2 linked regions of the Caenorhabditis elegans genome follow. The protein of the gene in region 1 purifies or fractionates together with the protein of each later gene. This does not show direct contact. Each region holds a gene or a part of one and is shown in the gene's direction. Other genes may lie near its edges.

Region 1 (4,307 bases):
CTCACGTCTTTTAGGAGTGCTCGTTTTCTCGTCGTGATTTGTGGAATTCATCGGTGATGTGATAAATGCCGATTTATCAGATGTTGTCGGCACATTTTCGTCATTATCCCTCTCCACGATTTCGTTGTCATTGGCTCCTGGCTTTGCTCTAGCTTGGGGAATCAATTTATTTTTTCGATGATTCAAGTTTCCGAAGACGGGCGAATTTGTTTGAATGTCGGGAGGTGGTTGCTTATCATAATGGTGTATGGACGGCTCCCAGGAGTGATGCTTGTCTTTAGGCGGCGATGCTCCGTTCATAAATTTTGAAGTTTCAGGAAAAAGCAGGTCAGCTTTGTTTTCATCAGCAAAAACCTGATTAGTGTATTCTTCAATGGCATTCTCTGAAAATTAGAAACAAAATTAATGGTTTAAGTAGATTAAAACTAACCTCCACCACTTTGAAACTCAAATTGACTAGAAAACGACTTATCGCTCATCACGCTGGCTGGACGACTCGCACTGCGCGAGCTAGCGGCAGATCGCAAATCTTCATTTTTCTCCTCAATCGTTGTCAGGTCATTAACCTTTGGATTAGTCATGTTTGTTTTGAAGCGACCACCATTTTTGAAGTTTTTCGGTGTCTCGTGTACTTCCTCTTCTTCGAGTTCTACATCACCATCAGCATTGTCTGAAAAAGCTATTTTAATTGCATAACATGTATAATAACTTACAGAATGATTCATTATCATTGTCATCAATGGGACTATCTTCAATTTCTTCGAACTGTTCATTACAGAGATTCATTGGAGCATCATCTTCCATTTTTAATACGCTGAGAATAGAAAAAGTTTTAAAATGAATGATTTTAAAAGCGTAAACACTAATCATTTGACGGGCGCGCCAATGTTTGTTTTCTGTGTCCGCAAACACGGCCACGCGAAAATGCGTACTTTTGTATCATATTTTTTGCAATTCAAATTGAAATAACTATTTTTTTATAGTCGTTTTTAAAACATAAAATCTAAATATATTGTGAATTTCAGCGAAAAATAAAACACAAAAACAATGGGTGATATTGATGAACGAATGATGGGACGTGCTGCTAGTCAATCTCGATTTCTTCCCAATGATCAGCAAGTCATAAGGTTGGTTTTTATTAGGTTTTCTCTAAAAATTCGATAACTGTTCAGTGACCCTCTGTCCAAACAAATCTTCGAATACGAACAATCGCATACTCCAAATGATCGTGAACTGCTTGAAATAATTCAGAAAATCGAGAGAAGTAATCCGGAACGATGTTCGAAAGCACCAAAGTTCGTGTCCCAGCTGCTAACTCACAGAACGACACCTATTCGTAAATTTGCATTTGCGGCTTGTCTGAAAATCTTGGCCCATCCTCAAAGTGTAAGAATTATCAAAATGACAATAATTTCAATTTTGAAAGTTTAGCCACGGCAAATGATGCTCGATTCCTATCACTTGGCACTTGTAAATTCAAATCCTCAAGTGGCTCAACATGCTTTATCGCTTCTGCCTAAGTTTGTTGACGCCTGTCCAGGTGAATCGATAGTAATAAACTCATTTTCATATTAATCTTGCAGAAGAAGCAAATAACCTGATAAAGTTCGGATCAATAGCATACAACAGACTTCCAGCTCCATGTACTGACGTTGAAAGTTTTCTATCAAAATCTTATACCAAAGCTTCTCAATGATTGATTTATTGTTTAGATTTATGAGTTGCGACGGGTTTTCATTTATCAATAAATCGGGTATTTCATTTATTTGATTTTTCTTTGCTTCTCGGTAAAAATGGGCTTAACTTGTCCCATCTTTATACCTTATTTATAAAATTTCATGATATTCGGAAAGTATTAAAATCTAATTCAGATGACAGTGTCTTCCCGAGAACGACGATGTGCACGTCTGTTAACGGCAGCTGATGCTTCGACATATTTTGAAAAGTACAAAAGAATCAGATCAACCGATATGAAGGTATACCTAAAGAAATAATATATTTCAAGCTTTCCCACTCATCAATTTTAGAAATGAAAACTACTTTTCTATTCCAGGTCCAGCAATGCCAATCAATAGCATTTAATTGTGATGGAACAAAACTTGTATGTGGTGCATTCGACAAAAAAGTGAGCGTTGCAAATGTGGATGGAGGTCGTCTCAGATTTTCTTGGGTGGGCTCTAGTCATTCATCGTCTGTGGAACAGGTATATCGGAAATTTCCTCATCTGGTGTTAACGATTTCTATTTCAGGTAGCATGTAGTGAAAAGCAGCCAAACTTATTTGCATCAGCCAGTGCAGATAGAAACATTTGTGTATGGGACATTCGACAAAGCAAACCGACTCATCGAATTTCAAATCGAGGTTTCAAATTAACAATTTAAACTCCTAAAAATGATCGGCTTTCAGTTGGAAATTTCTTCATCTCCTGGTCTCCGTGTGACGAATATTTCATATTTCTCGACAAAGATAATCGGATAAATACAGTAGACATTCGGAATTATCAAGTTGTAAATGTGAGTTTCAAGAGCTATTTAGCAACTTGAGATTTTTAGGATTTTGCTAGGATTGCTTGTAAAGTTGTAAAGACGATCAAAACATTTTAAATTTAATTATTTTCAGTCCTATGAAATGAAAACTTTCTCCCACGAGCTAACATTTCACCCTTTGTCGAACCACGTATTCGTAGCAGAGTCTGGAGGAAAAGTTGAAATTCTAAAGTTCGCCGGTGGAGCCCTTGAACCTGTGACTTCGATTCAAGCCCATTCGCATCAAGTTGAGTGTCTGGCAGTGTCGATCTCGAAAGACGGGCGAAAATTGGCAGTTGGAGCATCGGATGCTTCTTGCTCACTTTGGGATCTTGAAGAACTCATTTGTGAAAGAGTTATTCCTAGGTAAGCAGCAGGACTGGGACTTTTTTTGGTATTTTGGGGCAAAAATATATGTTTAAAAATATATTATACTTAAAACGTTATTTTATTTAAAAAAATATATTTTACAAGTCTTTTTAAGCTAAATGTTGCTTTTAATAGTTTTTGAATTCGTTTCCTCAAATATTAGAATTGCTTTACTCCAACGTTTGTGCGACTAATTAATTGCGAGTTTAGCACAAAATATTTGAGATTCCATCGAAAATCGAATCTATAAATTTTTTTTGATTTTTCGCCAACTTCTATTTTTTGTATTTTGCTCCAACATACTTTTTTGAAAGCAGATGCTCTCAAAATTCGAATAATGATGAGATTTTTTTTCAAGTTTGCAACCTAATCCATTTATCTAGACTCCCGTCCGTCTTTTTTGAAATCATATTTCGTAAATCATCAATTTTTATGTATTACAGTTTATGTACGATAATTAAAATTGGATGATAGACATAGCTTCGAAACATAACCATTATTAGAAGTATTGTTCTCAGATGCTTTTAAAGTTAAAACTGCAAAACTTTCAGACACGACTACGGAATAAGAGCTGTATCATTTTCTTGTAATGGTCAACTTCTTGCATCTGGATCCGAAGATCACTCAATCGATATTGCCTATGTACCAGACGGATCACGTTGCCACGAAATTAAACACACTGGCGAGACCTATTCAGTTGCCTGGCATCCGAACTCTCTTCTCCTTGCATACACTGCTTCCGATAGTATGGACAATAGGGAAGCAGCACATGTTAAAACGTTTGGACACAGTACCGTGTAAAATTTTTCCATAATTATTTTCTCTTGCTCTTGTTCTCGAAAATTGATCTGATACTATAAATTAAAAAAATCGTTTTATCTAGTTAAAAATAATCAACTGCAAACTATACATCAATCACCGAATACGCATCTCTGAAAATTTCAAGATAAATGAAAATCTTTAAAAATCAAATACATTTTCTTGTACCATTCATCAGAATTGTCTGAAAAAATCTTGCCACACGTGGCAGATCCCCATCTTCCATTCATCATCACCGATCGACAAAAACCTTCAGAATCCGCCAGTATTTTGTGTTGCCCATTCTGTAAATTGGGACTTCCGAAGAAAAAACCAGTCCACTCTACTCTTACAGTACACAATAAGTTCCCACATTCTGAATTAGGCTCAAACTGGCAATTTATATTCTGAAATGTTTCAGTTGAAGTCCATACACCCTGCCACGTGCAAAGTTGAGATTGTGGCCGACAACAATAATGACGAATATGGGTGTTATCTTCACATCTGGAAAAAGAAGAGCTTCGGTATTATGCTCAAAAATTGGTTTCACCTTGATTCCGTGGAAAATACTTTTTTGGAAAGCCAACCATTTCCATTTTCAGAGCATAATATTTC
Region 2 (3,607 bases), on another chromosome or scaffold:
TTCACCAAAATAGTTGAATTTTGGAAACCTCAAAACTTTTTCAGCGGTCTCGTTATGAAAATCAGGTAGTCTCAGCATTTAAGCAGCATATGTATCATGTTTAAGAAAAAATTTAGGTTTTGTATTCCCGTAATCCATTATATTACAATGCCCACTTTCACCGCTGCTTGCCCACTGAATACATGATTTTTTTACTTGGAAATTGTTTTAGCATCTGCAAAAAATATTTATTTATCAGTTTTATTAAGAAAAAACGAAAAAAATCGATGAAAAACGAAAGAAAACAGGCGGAAAACAAAGCAAGATAAATGGCCGCTGAAACTTATCGGCCCCTTGGCCATGGCCTAGAAACCACTTTTCCTCTTCCCTCGTGAGGAAAATGTTGCAGTGTACAATGCAAATCTGAATTTCCGAACAATTTATATGCGGGCAGAGCTGTAAAATTTTGGTTGAACCTATAGTGAGAATCTAGTGAGATGAGTCCAATTCTACCACACGGGCAAATCTTTAAACTAACTTTGAAAAAAAGGGAAAAAATTTTAATTCCCGCGTCAAAAATTTACACAGAAACTTGAAATATTTACCCCTAAAGATTTTTCTCAGAAGGCAAACTTTACGACACAGTTTATTTGCGTTGGGACGACGGACTAATTTTTCAAACGGTGTAGAAAACTCGGCCACCAAAAAATTTTATAATGGTCAAAAAGTAACCTGAAAATTTTCAAAACTAATTTCATTAAATCCTGCCAATCTAATTTTTTTCTTTGAAAAAAATTATTTATTCGCGGCCGCGCAGAAGAAAACTCGGCCACCAACTTTTCGAGAACCCTCATATCAGCAAAAAAGAATACAATGTTTTTAGAAAAAAAACTCACAACTTTTCTTCGACTGAAAAAAAACTGTTAAACTAACCTCAATGTTCCGATATTAGTTTTGCGATGACGTGGCATTAAATATAATAAAAATGTGGAATTTGTTAAAAACTAAAAATTTCACGTAAATAGAACCGAGTTTATCAAGAAAGTTCACGAATATGTTCTGTTGAAAAACTTAGTTTTAACCGTAAAAATTCCAGGTTTTTATCAAGATGTGCCTATTAATAGAATATATTGTGTTCCCAACGCGAACTGTGCAAATTTTCAGACTACAGTACCCCTCTACAGTAGTAGTTTTGAATTCGAAATCGCTTTTTCTTCTTTTTAGTGTTTTCAAATCGAATTTTCTTGTAATTCTTGGATTTTTTGGTTCTGGAAATTCTGGAAAACCCCCTGAAAATGGTACAAAACCTATAATACAAGAAGAAAGTATTTTGATCGATGCACCATGACCCGATCTCCACGGGAACCGCCAAATCGACTTTAAAATCCCTTCCACGCGAGACCTGAATTTCGTTCTGGACCAAGAAAAGATTTTTTAAAAAATCTGATTTTCAAACATTTTTATTTTAAATTTTGCGAACCTGTAAAAAGTGAAGTTTTATGCAAATTTTCATGTTTCCCGCGATCTTTAATGCTAATTTTAGTTGGAAAATACGATTTTCTAACTATTTTTGAGGTTTTCTCAATGGAAAATATCGTTTTTCACTGCGAATCAGCCCGAATAAATTACAAAATTAATTCCAAAAGTCAACGTTAACGCTGACGTCCACATCGAGAAACGCGCCAAGGAGAGTGCTGACGCGCCCGCGGTGCGCGCAAACACGTCAGCTTATTTTCTCGAATTGCGTTCGCTTTTTCTCTATTTTCTCTCCGTTTTTTCCGCTTTCTTTTGTCTTTTTATTCTATTTTTCTGCATAATTTGTTGGTTTTTTTTTTCAGTTTTCCCGCTATTTACACTCTCAGAGCCCTGAAAACCCCGTAATAATCCCTGTTTTTTCCAGCAGATGAGCCGACTCGTCCTTCTCATCTCCCTGGTGATTGTCGTCGCCTCGGCTGCTGCTCCACAATGTGAAGGTTTGTAAATTTGAGAAAGCTTAATTACTTAATTATCTAATAAAAAATCGCGAAATTTTCAGTCTGCAAAAAGGTTCTGGACGATGTGATGGCAAAAGTGCCGGCCGGCGACAAATCCAAGCCAGATGCCATCGGAAAAGTGATCAGAGAGCATTGTGAGACCACTCGCAACAAGGAGAACAAATTTGTAGGGGATTTAAAGATTTAAATGATTTAATCTAATTTTCCTTTAAAATTTTTAATTTTTATCCATTTTCAGTGCTTCTACATCGGCGCACTCCCAGAATCGGCCACTTCCATCATGAACGAGGTCACCAAGCCGCTCAGTTGGTCGATGCCAACGGAAAAAGTCTGTTTGGAGAAGCTCAAGGGCAAGGATGCTCAGATTTGTGAGCTTAAATACGGTTCGTTTGGCGCATAATCTCGCTTTTAATCAAAAAAAAAAAATAAATAAATCCCCAAATTTCACAGACAAGCCACTCGACTGGAAGACGATCGATTTGAAGAAAATGCGCGTGAAAGAGCTGAAAAACATTCTCGGCGAGTGGGGAGAGGTGTGCAAGGGATGCACCGAGAAGGCCGAGCTCATCAAGCGCATCGAGGAGCTTAAGCCGAAATATGTCAAAGAAGAGCTGTGATTTTTTTTTCATGCCGTTCTACATGTGATAATCGTGTTTTTAGCGTGTGTGTTTTTATTGCAATTTTACTTGTTGAAATCTATTTTTTATTAATAATAATTTATTTATTGATTTCCCCCCCCCCCCTTAATTTTTTCGTGTTTCATCATCATCTTCCTCCCACTGGTCTGGTCAAATGAAGCTTTTTTCCCTGATTTTCCCTCAGTTTGCCAATTTTTCGGTTCTAATCCGGTTTTTAATAATTTATTTTACCTTTTTTCTAGGTTTTCCAGGAAATAAATCAGTTTAAAAATGTGATTTTCGAAGATTTACGGTCGAAAACTGGCATTTTTAGGCTGAAAATATCGATTTTCACCTTAAAAACCTCCAAAAACCAATTTTATCGATTTCGAAACGTTATTATTGATGGAAAATACGTAAAAATGGAAAATAATACCCATTTTCAGCTTTTTCAACGCCGAAAAATCAATTTTCGGCGATATTTTCTACTAAAATTACCGAAAAATGTGATTTTTCCGCAAAAATATGCGATTTCATAACAGTTTTCGTTGGGAAATGCACAGAAATCCAATTTTTCTAAAAATTTCGCAAAGGAATTGATTTTTTACTTAAATTACCGTTAAATTTATACATTTTTAGTATAAAAATTAAGATTTCGCGTGGATAACGAGAATTTACAGCGTTTTTTTGCTGAAAATATCGATTTTCTCGAATTTAGCGTTTTCAAAATGCTCAAAACGTCGAAAATTCAGTTTTTGGCATTATTTTTGATGGAAAATACGTCAAAAATGCCAATTTTCACTCTGAAATGCACATAAATCCTATTTTTTCGAAATTTCACTGTTGAATTGATTTTTTCACTCAAACTACCGGTGAATTTACATATTTTCAGATGAAAAACTGAAAGCTCCCGTAGAAAACGCGTCTTTTTCAACATTTTGGTGCTGAAAATATCGATTTTCCGCAAAAATAACGAATTCGTAATGCCAAAAACGTCAAAAATACACATTTTTGCGT

The links.
Region 2: the proteins of thoc-3 (region 1) and manf-1 fractionate together in Caenorhabditis elegans (co-fractionation; one large-scale study listed by BioGRID). This does not show direct contact.

Annotation. Positions count from the first base shown.
Region 1 is NC_003279.8:8,969,268-8,973,574, forward strand, and holds thoc-3 (WD_REPEATS_REGION domain-containing protein), read left to right. Parts: upstream 1-1,871; coding exon 1,872-1,976; intron 1,977-2,053; coding exon 2,054-2,203; intron 2,204-2,249; coding exon 2,250-2,361; intron 2,362-2,406; coding exon 2,407-2,513; intron 2,514-2,619; coding exon 2,620-2,891; intron 2,892-3,445; coding exon 3,446-3,695; 3' UTR 3,696-3,770; downstream 3,771-4,307. Other genes in the region: spd-2 (Spindle-defective protein 2), read right to left, coding at 6-383, 431-670, 714-804; F32H2.10 (Integrator complex subunit 1 R4 domain-containing protein), read left to right, coding at 1,048-1,127, 1,173-1,386, 1,432-1,540, 1,584-1,696; F32H2.12 (SRCR domain-containing protein), read right to left, coding at 3,799-3,826, 3,870-3,997, 4,046-4,196, 4,243-4,307.
Region 2 is NC_003282.8:2,926,694-2,930,300, reverse strand, and holds manf-1 (Mesencephalic astrocyte-derived neurotrophic factor homolog), read left to right. Parts: upstream 1-1,879; 5' UTR 1,880-1,882; coding exon 1,883-1,952; intron 1,953-2,014; coding exon 2,015-2,139; intron 2,140-2,211; coding exon 2,212-2,356; intron 2,357-2,423; coding exon 2,424-2,590; 3' UTR 2,591-2,784; downstream 2,785-3,607. UniProt on the Caenorhabditis elegans protein: Inhibits endoplasmic reticulum (ER) stress response. Retained in the ER under normal conditions and is up-regulated and secreted by the ER in response to ER stress and hypoxia.